3 linked regions of the Drosophila melanogaster genome follow. The protein of the gene in region 3 interacts with the protein of the main gene of each other region in a pairwise test. Each region holds a gene or a part of one and is shown on either strand. Other genes may lie near its edges.

Region 1 (4,319 bases), on a different chromosome or scaffold from region 3:
ACTTCTTTTTTGTGTTAAATTTATGCGAGTGCAAGGCAATCGGAGAAAAACAAGAGCAAAATGCCAATTGAATGAGTAATCAGTGTGTATGTATACCAGAAAATAATGAACTCAACTGCAAACGTGTCTTTTCAGTGTCTTTTGGATCAAAGGAAGTGAAGTTTTCAATTTAGAAATAATAGCAACCAAACTAATACCTCTAACTAAAGCTCTTTTTGTTTCGCTTACCTAAACGCTCGACTTATGATATAAAAAGTAGCCCTAGCTTAGTGTGACCAGGCCGCGAATGCCGCAACATCTAGCTGCTCTAGCCCTTGATATTTTCGAGTTTTGGCCACACTAATGACTGCGAAAATACCGAATAAAATATAGTGGGAACTGCATGAATGCGAAAATAGCGGGATTCCAATACCGAATAAAATATAATGGGAACTGCATGAATCCGAAAATAGCGGGATTCCAAATTCGTTCCAATTGCAAAATACACTTTTGAATATTATAAGCTAATAATACCCAAACTTATTTCGAATTAAATGTGTTTTATGTGTCATTCCAATCTAGTTTATTTGGTTTTTAGAATCAATCAGTCATTCATGTCGCCCGCACCCATGACGTGGCTCATATCCTTGCCTCCAGCGGCCAGGACGTCGAGCAGCAGGTCACCTTTGTCCTTGCGCTTGCTGGGCGGCACCTTCTTCTGCTGCTGCAGGGCGGCCACCTGGGCGGCGTGCATCTGGCGGCGGTGCTTGTGCATGTTCCCCGAGTTTTTGAAGGTGCGCTCGCAGAAGGCGCACTCGTACAAATCCTGGCCGGTATGCGTGGCTGTGTGCTCCTCGAGGCTGCGACTGCTCTTGAACTCCTTGGCGCAGTGCGTGCACTTGTGGTATTCCTTCGGATGATGATAGCGTATGTGGGCCGCCAGCTTGGCCCGCGAACCCTTCTCCAGGCCGCACTGCTCGCACTTCCACTGACGCAGCGAGGCGGCATCCAGATGCATGTACATGTGCTTGCGCAAACTGTTCTCGTCGGACAGCCACACCTGGCACTCCTGGCACTGTACCTCGGGCAGCTGGGAGCCCTCGCGATGCACAGTCCGCTTGTGCACTAGCAGGTTCTGTTTCGTCTTGAACTTGGCACCGCACGAGTCGCAGATGAAGGGTACGAAGGCGGGGTCATGGGTGCGTCGCATATGCAGCCGCAGGTCAACGGCGGTGCGAAAGCTGTGGGCGGATAGAGGCAATTCATCAATTCGCTCTTCTACTTGCTGCCTACACTTACGATCTGTCGCAGTGCTTGCACTGCTCATTGCGCTCCTGCTGGTGCACCCTGGAGTGAATGGTGAGAAGGAACTGCTTGGAGAACCGCTTTGAGCACTGATCACACGCGAAGCTTAGGTCGTCCTTGTTGGGATGGAAGCGTAGCATGTGTACATCGTAGCTAATCCGGCTGACCAGTTGCTTGGAGCAGATCTTGCACCTGCACAGTTCATTCATTAGTAGGGGGATTCAATCAATTGCCTGGGCTGGTCAAGTACCTAAAGTAATTCGGATCGTTGTGCATGTGCAGGTGGTCCACGTAGAGGGCACGCTTCTTGTAGCGCCGCTGGCAGCAGACCACATAACCGAGGGACTGGTGATGATTCCGGAAGTGCCGCTTCATCTCGGCGAAATTGGGAAACTGTTCGTCGCCGCCGCAAATGCAGCACTCCAAACGACCGTGCAGAGCGATATAGCTGTCCATTTCGCGGCTATTGCTGCTGCGGCTCTCTGGATCGCCCTCGCCTTCGGCATCCTCATCCTCGTCCGCCTCGGCCTTGTGGGTCTTCGTCCTGGCCTTGGCCTTGACAGCCTGAGTTTTGGGTGCTGTGACTGCCCGGGGTAGACGCATACGGCGTCTAATGGGCGACGGCAGGCGCATTTCTCGTAGCGATGTGGTGCGAATGCTACTGCTTCTGCTGTTGCTGCTGGCATCGCCGTCGATCTCGTTGCACTCTTCGTTGTCGGCGGCCGCGGGACTCACATCGATCTCCGGTTCGCACAGGATCTGCGCCTTAGTGTCCGCATCCTCGTCCTCGGAGAACGGCTCCATCTTCAGTTGCTGCAGGCCCAATTGTTTCTTCATCACCATGGCGCAGAACTGCTCGAAGTCGGCCAACTGCTGCCAGCACTGGGTGCAGAGGCTCTTGGACACCCCATCGTTGGGCAGGAGCTGGTAACAAGGATGCAATCTGGTCATTAACAAATGTTGGTGGTTCAAACGGAATTCACTGCTTACCACCAACTGCAGGTGTTTCTCAATTAGCTCCGCTAGATTGGAGGGCACTGGCTGATCGCCGGAGTCATCCTGGTCAAAGATTGGCACACTGTGCTCAGCATCGTCCAGGCACAGGCGGCATATCATTGCACTACAGCTGTAGGAAAAGCAATTAATTCAATTAATTGCCTCGCAAATTCAGTTTAAGACGTCGCCGAGGTGTTGCCAGACTGCCAGGCTGAATAAACTTCGAGCGACAGAGATGCCAGAGTGGGCGCTTAAAAGCAGCTTAAATTTTAAGTGACCCAGGAAAATGACCGAAAACATACGAATTGTGCATACATTCCAATTTAAACTAAAAATTTTTAAAACTTTACATATATTTGGTAATATATTTTCATTTCTTTAAAGTTGATTAATGTCCGTATCTAAAAACTAGCTACAAAGTAGCCAGACTGTTTGCCATGACCACTGTACCAACATCACAACACAACAAAACAAAAACACAGCTCAAAAAGATAGATGCAGCGAAGAAAAGCAAAAAAACAGACGCTGCGAAATCGACAAGGACTCGAAAAAGGAAACTTGGTAATTTGCAAGACTTAGATACGCGACACAAGGATGAGCACTTCCGGCGCAGTTGATCAGTACACGGTGCTAACCGGCGACCGTTCCAAGATCAAGGATTTGCTCTGCAGCCGCCTTACGGAATGTGGCTGGCGGGACGAGGTGCGTCTGATGTGCCGCAACATCCTGATGGAGAAGGGCACCAACAACAGCTTCACCGTAGAGCAGCTGATCGCCGAGGTAACACCCAAGGCACGCACCCTGGTCCCGGATGCCGTCAAAAAGGAGCTGCTTATGAAGATACGCACCATTCTCACGGAAATTGAGGAGGAACCCGATGAGCCAGAGGACGAATCCTAACTTTAACTCAGCGTCATTGGATTTGTATATTAATAAAGTTTATTTGTACGATTTTATACATAAATCCCGACCAGGGAACGTGTACACAAAGTCGCAGGGACAGACACCAAACACAGACACACAACACACAGATTCAGTCGGGCGTGGGGCACACGGAGCTGTTGCTGCCGAAATCGAAGCCCTCGGTATCGGGTATCTCAATCAGCGACTTGGCAATGCCACCGAGTGGCGGCAGCATGTGCCCGGCTAGATTAGTCGGAGCTGCCGCTGGAGGAGCAGGCTGGTTAGGATGATTGGGATGAGCAAGTGGAGCCGCTGTGGAGGTAATGCTACTGCTGGGCTGCGAGTACTTTCTCACCCAGTCGTTGGGATGCATCTTCTTCTTGTGGTTGTGCATGTTGGCATGAGACTTGAAGGTGCGCGTACAAAACTGGCATTGGTACAGATCGATGCCCGTGTGAGTGGCCATGTGCTCCTGTAATGAAAACGTTCCGGGATTAGCACGATCAGAATCTGATACGCTGGTCAACTCACGGCCAATGCCCGCGGCAGCTTGAACTCCTTGTCGCAGAGACTGCACTTGTGCCGCTTGGCGGAGTGATGGTACCGCATGTGGCTGCTGAGTGCGGCACGGGATGACTTCTCTGCATTGCAGAGCAGGCATCGGTACTTGGTGTCGCCGTCGCGGTCATCGTGGCGTGCCAGATGCTTGCGCAGGCTCCGTTCGTCCCGCAGCCAGCGGCCGCACAGGGTACACTGCACCTCCGCCACCGGCCCGTCCGGATGCAACGCCTTCTTGTGGATGAGAAAGTTGGCCTTGCTCCTGAAGTGTGTACCGCATATGTCGCATATGATGGGCGTAAAGTCTGCCGCATGCATGCGCTTTACATGGGCACTTAGCTCAAACTTGGTGCGGAATCTATGAAAGTAAGAGAGCAACGCATTAGTACATTCGCCTACCAGTCTAGCGCCACTCACGTCTTGCTGCAGGTGTCGCACACCTCGGGACGCTCGGTGCCCTTGTGTCCTTTAAGATGCATGGTCAGCAGGAATTTCTTGGCAAAGCGCGCCTCGCAGATGGCACACTGGTGGACCAGCTCTTGCTGCTGCGAGTGGAAGCGCAGCATGTGCATCACCTG
Region 2 (3,886 bases), on a different chromosome or scaffold from region 3:
ATTGTGGTCAACAATCCACATATAACATTGACGGAGACCCTCGAGGATTATGTGATCTGTGAGGATGTGGGAGCGCAAATCGATTGGTTGGACTGGGACAAAGCAAACCTGCAGAAGGGCTACTCCTATGCGTGCTCTGTAGAAGATTTCATCGAAGTGGTTAAGGATTTGCCCACAGATCAACTGCAAACAACAGGAATTCTTGGTTTGACTGATCAAATCTTGGACAATGAAGTGTGCAGCTTTAAAGTGAACGGTGATCTTAAGGATCCGGCTCCTTTATTTGTAGTCAGGAGTGAATTGGGTCATGCGAGATATTTGGAACCGAATCAAGAAGGAGTAGTTCAGCTAAAACATGGAGAAGCCCTTGAGTTCCACTGCATCAATTCTTTCAGTGGACCCTTCTCTGGTTATACCTTCGTCAATTCAACATGCTGGCAACAGCAGAGCATCCTGGCAATGGGCAGTTTGTATCAGCTGCAGGACTTTGTCTGCACTTCCTGGCCAACATACACTGCTCGTCGCTCTGGTCGTCCCTGCAATGGTGGTACTGATCTGCTTGAAGTGGGCTTTCAGCTGTCATCCTCCTCGAGCGACGACTTCCTGCAGACCTATGACGTGTGTCACGATGAACTGAGCGAAGTCACCCGCTATGTGCATCATGTTTTGTACCCCGGAAGTGACCAATATCAGCGATCTGTATCCAGGCCATCCTTTATACCCGGCGACTTTTACGGAGGCAAGGATGTGAACACTTTGTACACCCAAGTTCAACAGAATATCACGGTTTCCGAGATTTTGGGCATGGATGCCTCACCATACTTCAACACCACTGGTAATGTCTATCTGGCTCGGGGTCACCTTTCTGCAAAGACCGACTTTGTCTTTGGGGCCGCTCAAAAGGCGAGCTTCTTCTTTGTGAATGCGGCACCTCAGTGGCAGACCTTTAATGGCGGAAACTGGGAACGAATCGAGGACAGTGTGAGAAAGTTTGTGGCGGATGAAAACATCACAGTGGATTGCTATACGGGCACATGGGGTGTGTCCACCCTGCCGGATGTAAATGGCATTGGAAGGGAGCTCTATTTGGACTTTGATGAAAACAACAATGGTCTGATTCCAGTGCCAAAGTTGTACTTCCGCGTGATTATCGATCGCGAGAGCAGAAATGGCATCGTGCTACTTGGAGTTAACAACCCACATGCCACCATTGAGCAAATCGAAGAGGAGTACATCATCTGCCAGGATATTGGCGCCCAACTGAGTTGGGTCAGTTGGACCAAAGAGGACCTAAAGAAGGGCTATTCATATGCCTGTACTGTGGAGGACTTTACTGCAGTGGTGAAAGACCTACCTTTACAAGACCTGTTTGTCGATGGAGTCCTGGGTGTTTAATATCAGATTTTGTGGGTGTGCAATTTCCAAAAAAAAAAACGAATTTCTTAATTTAAAACCAATAAAAAGACTATCTTAAAGAAAACAGGTTTTTATTGAAGGGTAGCCCTTAGGAAAATGCTTAAAGGCACGTTTAAATTAAGTTCTCATGGGCCATAAAACAGTGAAATCACGTTTAGCTTTTGTTCTCTTTGGAGTTTATTGCATGTTGGACATATTGATAAGAGTAAGGTTATCAAATGCTTGACGTTATCGTTTATGGCCGGGGTAGAGCTATTTATTTACCCAGCCATTGGATTATTTGCTCACGTGCCGCACGTTTCCAAAAGCCTTAATTTTTTCTGCTGTTCCAGTAGCCCAAGAGGCAGTCCCTTGGCCCGAATCGAAGTCCCAATGGCAGTGACTTTCACATTTTCTTATCGAAGCTAAGGAAATACCTTGTATTACTTGTGCGGTTCCCTTTGTTTATCTTATCGCAACACAATCGTCGCAGAACGTATGAAGTATACGCCTGCTTGGTTAATAATTATAATGGACTTTTTAGGGGGTAAACAAAAGGCAAAAACCGTAAATGAAGCAGATAGAAACCAAAATTGATTTATATTGGTCGAGTAATCATTCACTTAGAATTGTTGCGGATTCAACAATGCGGTTAAACTTCGTTTTAATTAATCAGTAATATCTATCAAGGCTGAAAGTGTGTGTTATTTTGTTAAGCAATGTTTATTTACCCCTGTTCAAGGCGTAGTTCAGAGACCGTTTAATAGATAGTTCTATTCGGCTAACCTACTGCTGAAATATTTAGGCAGTAACTTATTAATCGTGTAAGTTTTAATGTACTGCATTTAAACAGCCATACAAAAATATTCAATTAGCGCTGTTTAATGAACTTTTATTTATGTTAGAAAGAGTCAGAACAATAATCATCATATTTCGGTGATTTAATTTTGCAAATAATCATTACCGCAACTCATCAACCATGAAATATCAAAATGATATAAATATGAGGGATTTAGGGAAATGAATTTAGTTAGTTTCGGAATTTTACAAGAGAAAATGGAACTTGTTGGTATATATTTGATATTAGCCACGACGATTGTTGTCCAAGGATACAGAAGTAAGTCAGCGAACAGGATAAGGGATAAAATCTAAAAAATTCCCCACTATCAATACAGAATTTGGACTTAGTTGTGAGGATATTGCCTGTATATCTGGTAAAAAATGCATTGTATCCAGAGTTCCCTGCGAAAACCCAAATCAGCAAGAAGGAGAACAATGTGGAACCTATCCGGAGTGCCAATCAGGTTCGTAAAATTTTGTTTTTTCATCGGTTCACACTGAAATCTGGTCCTTTTCAACTGATCCGTTTCAGATCAGCTGGCCAGCGATTTCATCATCGACACTACACAGACCACTGCCAACACCCGAAACAGCATCATCATACCCAGCACTTCCACGAGTCGCAATCGGAATAATAGGAACAGTGACTTTAAACTGCTGAGCGATTTCAGTAACTCCGATACATTTGCCACCCATGCAGGCCAACGGCAGGCTAATGTTTTGGTTATTGTTCAAGATGGTTCCCAGCAACCTCAACAGCCAAATCCTTGGCTAAATCGAGGACAAAGTCCTCCCTGTACCATCAGTCCGCTCTACCCATATTCCTGTACTTATCCCCGTTATCCGAATTCGGGAGCAGGATTGCCTTCTTATACGCAGCAGCGATCGGCCAATGGGCCACAATTAGTTCCTCCCACTCCACCATGCTACTATAACTGCTATCCCAGTGTGCGGTCAAGTTCATATGGTCAATATGGATACCCCCTGTCTAGATCAGCCAATCCCTCATCAACCAATAACTATTTAATCTACCTCACATTAGCTGGCTAAAAGACCAGGAGCTTTAGTTATGTGCAAATAATAAATATAGAATCTATTATCAACCTTTTTTTTTCGTTTCTATATCTTCGCCAGTTTTGCACCGTTTCCGGCGAACGCCACAAATGCCTTATCAGCCTGTGGGGATGCCAGCTTCAATGCCACCCGGGTATCCACCACCTCGCCCACCGTTTCAAATGCAGCAGCCGCGTCAAGTTGCACCACAATATGTGATTCCACCTCAGCCCAACCCACAGTACGCAATTCAATACCAGGCCAACCGGCAATATGCCATGCAAGGACAACCCAATTCGGCCAATCCTTGGCTCCACTTCTCAGTAGGGATGTCCTATCCAACGTATATGAACTATAATGGACGTTCCGCTGGGAACTCACTTCCATCATTTTACAATCCGTACCCACCCAGTTATAGTACCTATAATTACAATATTAACTTACCCTTTTCGGGTGGATCTTCCTAAGATCTTCGATACTGGTTAAAAAAAATTCAAAGCTACTCAGCACCGGATGGACTCCTTCCGAACATTATTTCATTACTTTCAAATTTGTCGTTCCTAAAATTAATAGCTAATACATATATTTGTCAGCTTCT
Region 3 (3,981 bases):
CGCAAAAGGAAAATCGAGGCGTTCAAATCTTCATTTATCCCTCGCTTAGAAAAGAAAGAAACGCTCTGCAGAAGAAAGAATAGTAACTGAACCTGCCGCCTCGGCAATTGTTAACCGCCTACTTTTTTCGACTGCCTATACCTTTCTTTCTCTATCGCTCGATTGCCGTCTCTTTCGGGCACTTTTAACTTTGCCGACTTCTCTGAGTGCATCATTATCATCGGCAATTGGACTACTGCGTTAAAAGTGCGCTGCCTACTTTTTTCTTCCCAACTCCTCCATTGTTTTGTTCACTTATTTTTTATTTTTTGGTTTTGGGCAAAAAATAAAATATGAGAAGGGAGCAAATTAATAGACAGTCATTTGGAACATGTGTTGTTGCTGCTTTGATTGTTTTGTCAAGTTGTCTAAGATATCAAACGCACAGTGCCGCCGACAAGTATTCGCCCCCATCCATTCATTCATCCATCCATCCATCTGTAATAACCCACAGCGCTGACGTCTTCATTGTGTCTACTTGACTTTCGCCCGATTTATCTGCCTGTATATTTGTTCAATTGTTCTAACAAAACATGCCATAAAAACATAAAACACTATGGACACAAAAACCACTTGTACATTCGTGTTTTTGTAGCCGGGGTCCAGTCTCGGTCCATTGCCAACCCACTCGCAAACGAAAAGTCCGGACTTCAAAGTCCATTTCGGTAGCAAAGTAGAGTCGGCGAGACTTCGTTTGATCCCAAAGGATGTTTGTCCATGTGAGTTGCATGTGTCCTTGAGATCCACGGCACTGCAATCATCTCCTAATTTCCTAAAAGTGTCTTCAAGTATTAAAAAACCTTAGCCTACAAGTATTATCGCATTCTTTATCATAGAACAAATTGATATTCATTCAAATTTAAGCTATCTTAAAATCTTAAACACACACACACAAAATCACCAAAATATGACTTAACTTTCGTGCAACCAATTTTAAATTCCACTGCCAGCCAACACTGAGCACAAATATTTGCCAGAGTCCATGCTTATAATTTTCCAAATCTATTAATCTCCAAAAGGATTGCCAGAGATCCACATTGATTCTGGCGAAGCGCGCCCAGAACTAATTCGCAAATCTGTCGCGAAACTAGAACAAATCCCGGTGCTCGGAGGTTTAACCCCTTCGGATTACCTGAGTCCTGCGTTCTGCGTCCTGAGCTCCATTGAGCTGTTGAAAATCGTGCCGTAAGCCAAGGCAGGATCTGCCTCAGATAATCCCCGGACCACAAAAGCGACCCTTGAACTAGTTTGGGCGGGATTAGGAGCAACTCGAGGAGTCTGTGTCGCAGATCGCTAGTGCAGTGGTTCGCAGAATTCAATGTCATATGATAAGTGGATCAAAGCACCAATCCAATATTCTAGAACATTGTAAATATCTTTACTTATATCTATAAAAGCATATTTAATATCTTTGAGTTAATTATGACTGAAATTAGGTCATTGCCAGAACACTCTAATATCTGACAAAGTGTAAATGTCATCCCCATTGAAGTGATTAGAAATGGCCCAATTTGTAAATTACTCTCGGATCCCAATCAAAAATCATCGAACTCGAATTATAAACATCCTGATTAAATTGCAACTGCCCGAAATTGGTGTTTTTGTTTTTATTGCCGCTTGTTAGTGCAATTAATAGTCAAAACAGCGAGCGGAAGCGAGACGCACTGAGAGCAACCCCAAAATACCGACCCTGTTTGGATTGGATGTAATGGATATTTTGACGCCGAAGCAGCAAAAGACTGCAAATAAACATCCACAAGTTCCCAAACAACGTCTACAAACATATAGCCAACATATAGTTTCGTGTGGAAGGCGAGTGGAACAAAATGGTCACAAAATGGAGGGCGGAGTCTTGTGAAGAGGGTTTAACTGCCCAACTACCTGATGCCCATCCCTTTCGCACTCCCTGTGCGCATTAGCTACCCGTCTCTTTCGGCCTGTGGGCTCTCTTCGTGTAGACTTCGTTCGAGCGACCGGGGGTTGGACTATAAATAGCCCGATCCGGGGCTGTAGAGAATCAGCTTAGAGCTAGCATCTCAAGAGCAAACATCTCAAGCGATCCCAAGTCGTGTGTGAGAATCAGAAACCAAAGAAAACAAAAATCTAAAGATATCCGAATCAGAAAAATGGTGAAAAGTGAAATGGAATTCAAGAGCAACTTCTCCATCGATGCCATCTTGGCCAAGAAACCCATCAACACCGCAACTCAACCCATCAAAACCGAACCGGTGCATCATCATCATCAGTACGTTCATCCGTACTCCAATTCCGATGGCGAACTCTCGGCTTCGGAGGATTTCGACAGCCCCAGCAGGACCAGCACACCCATGAGCAGTGCCGCCGAGAGTCTATCGTCGCAAAACAATGACAAGCTCGACGTGGAGTTCGACGATGAGCTGGAGGATCAGCTGGACGAGGACCAGGAGAGCGAGGATGGCAATCCCAGCAAGAAACAGAAAATGACCGCCGGCAGCGATACCAAGAAACCGCCATACAGCTACAACGCCCTCATCATGATGGCCATCCAGGATAGTCCCGAGCAGCGGTTGACTTTGAATGGCATCTATCAGTATCTGATCAATAGATTCCCCTACTTCAAGGCCAACAAGCGGGGCTGGCAGAACTCCATTCGCCACAATCTGAGCCTGAACAAGTGCTTCACGAAGATTCCCCGCAGCTACGATGATCCCGGCAAGGGCAACTACTGGATCCTGGACCCCTCGGCCGAGGAGGTATTCATTGGCGAGACCACCGGCAAGCTGAGGCGCAAGAATCCCGGCGCCAGTCGCACTCGCCTGGCCGCCTATCGTCAGGCCATATTCTCGCCGATGATGGCTGCTTCACCATACGGAGCTCCAGCTTCCAGCTACGGATACCCGGCTGTTCCATTCGCCGCCGCTGCCGCCGCCGCCCTGTACCAGCGCATGAATCCCGCTGCCTATCAGGCTGCCTATCAGCAGATGCAGTACCAGCAGGCTCCTCAGGCCCACCATCATCAGGCGCCCCATCCCGCCCAGATGCAGGGCTATCCACAACAATTGAACGCCGAGTTGTTTCAGCGCATGCAGTTCTTTGGCAAGTTTCCATCCAGCTAAATCTTGGCAGTCGGCGCAGAACCAAGCCCAGCGCTTTGGATCGAAAAAAAAAACCCAGGGACAAAAGGGTCGCTTGGGGAAGAGCTAGGACTGGTAGGACTTCCTGCTCGCTTGCCCCGTGGAAAAACCCGTGACGTCTAAATGCTGCATTTAGCAAATTCCTTTGGTCATCATCGCATTGACCGCTTCGCTTCTTCAGCGGCTCCTCCGAATCGACTTGGAAAGTCGATGGTTAACGGCAATGAATGCGCAGCCAAATCTTCAGGACTGCTGAAGAAGGATTCCTGCCAGCCGAGAGCCCTTGTAGTTTGCTCACCAACTTTTGTACATATGTAATTAGGAAATATAAAAAAAAAGAAAAAAAAATAATAAACAAATTTAAAAAGAAAAATTTCAAACGGCTTTCTTATTTTTAAAACCATTTCAGAATATAACAATTTTTTGGATCGAGTTATCGACACTTGAAAAATATTCATCAGTGAATAAGACTTAATGGCACTTTTTCGTTATTATTTAACTGCCTTTCTCTGAGAACTCAGCAGCTTCTTTTTCCGTTGACCATCAGCTGCTGTCCAGCTCACAGTCACATCCCGTAAATATTTACCCAGCTTCCTCCAGCAACTTGCTTTCATCCTGATGACTTAATTAGTTGTTTGCTAGCCAGAGCGGCAAACATGAAAATGATTCCCGAAAAAGGCAGAAAAATGCCAGAGGATGAGGTTCAAAATGAGCCATCACCCATTGACTCGATTTTGTTTGGCTCTTTACATGCCCAGTGACAACTCCAGCTGTGCGAGATGTGCTGGGCACCGCAGGTACGATCCGTTTCGATCCGATCCGATATGAT

Evidence for each region.
Region 1: the proteins of slp1 (region 3) and CG11695 interact in a two-hybrid assay, tested with the Drosophila melanogaster proteins (one large-scale study listed by BioGRID).
Region 2: the proteins of slp1 (region 3) and CG43894 interact in a two-hybrid assay, tested with the Drosophila melanogaster proteins (one large-scale study listed by BioGRID).

The regions. Positions count from the first base shown.
Region 1 is NC_004354.4:11,575,034-11,579,352, reverse strand, and holds CG11695 (uncharacterized protein), read right to left. Parts: upstream 2,471-4,319; 5' UTR 2,401-2,470; coding exon 2,275-2,400; intron 2,209-2,274; coding exon 1,535-2,208; coding exon of another isoform or gene 1,510-1,534; exon of another isoform or gene 1,477-1,509; coding exon 1,279-1,476; intron 1,221-1,278; coding exon 584-1,220; 3' UTR 547-583; downstream 1-546. Other genes in the region: e(y)2 (enhancer of yellow 2), read left to right, coding at 2,875-3,180; CG11696 (uncharacterized protein), read right to left, coding at 3,314-3,655, 3,715-4,099, 4,159-4,319.
Region 2 is NT_037436.4:12,887,773-12,891,658, forward strand, and holds CG43894 (uncharacterized protein), read left to right. Parts: upstream 1-1,997; 5' UTR 1,998-2,451; coding exon 2,452-2,512; intron 2,513-2,570; coding exon 2,571-2,699; intron 2,700-2,767; coding exon 2,768-3,285; 3' UTR 3,286-3,333; downstream 3,334-3,886. Other genes in the region: CG14120 (uncharacterized protein), read left to right, coding at 1-1,395.
Region 3 is NT_033779.5:3,823,619-3,827,599, forward strand, and holds slp1 (sloppy paired 1), read left to right. Parts: upstream 1-2,056; 5' UTR 2,057-2,165; coding exon 2,166-3,134; 3' UTR 3,135-3,481; downstream 3,482-3,981. UniProt on the Drosophila melanogaster protein: Transcription factor involved in segmentation. Required for the formation of the mandibular lobe. Different levels of slp activity seem to be required in different segments.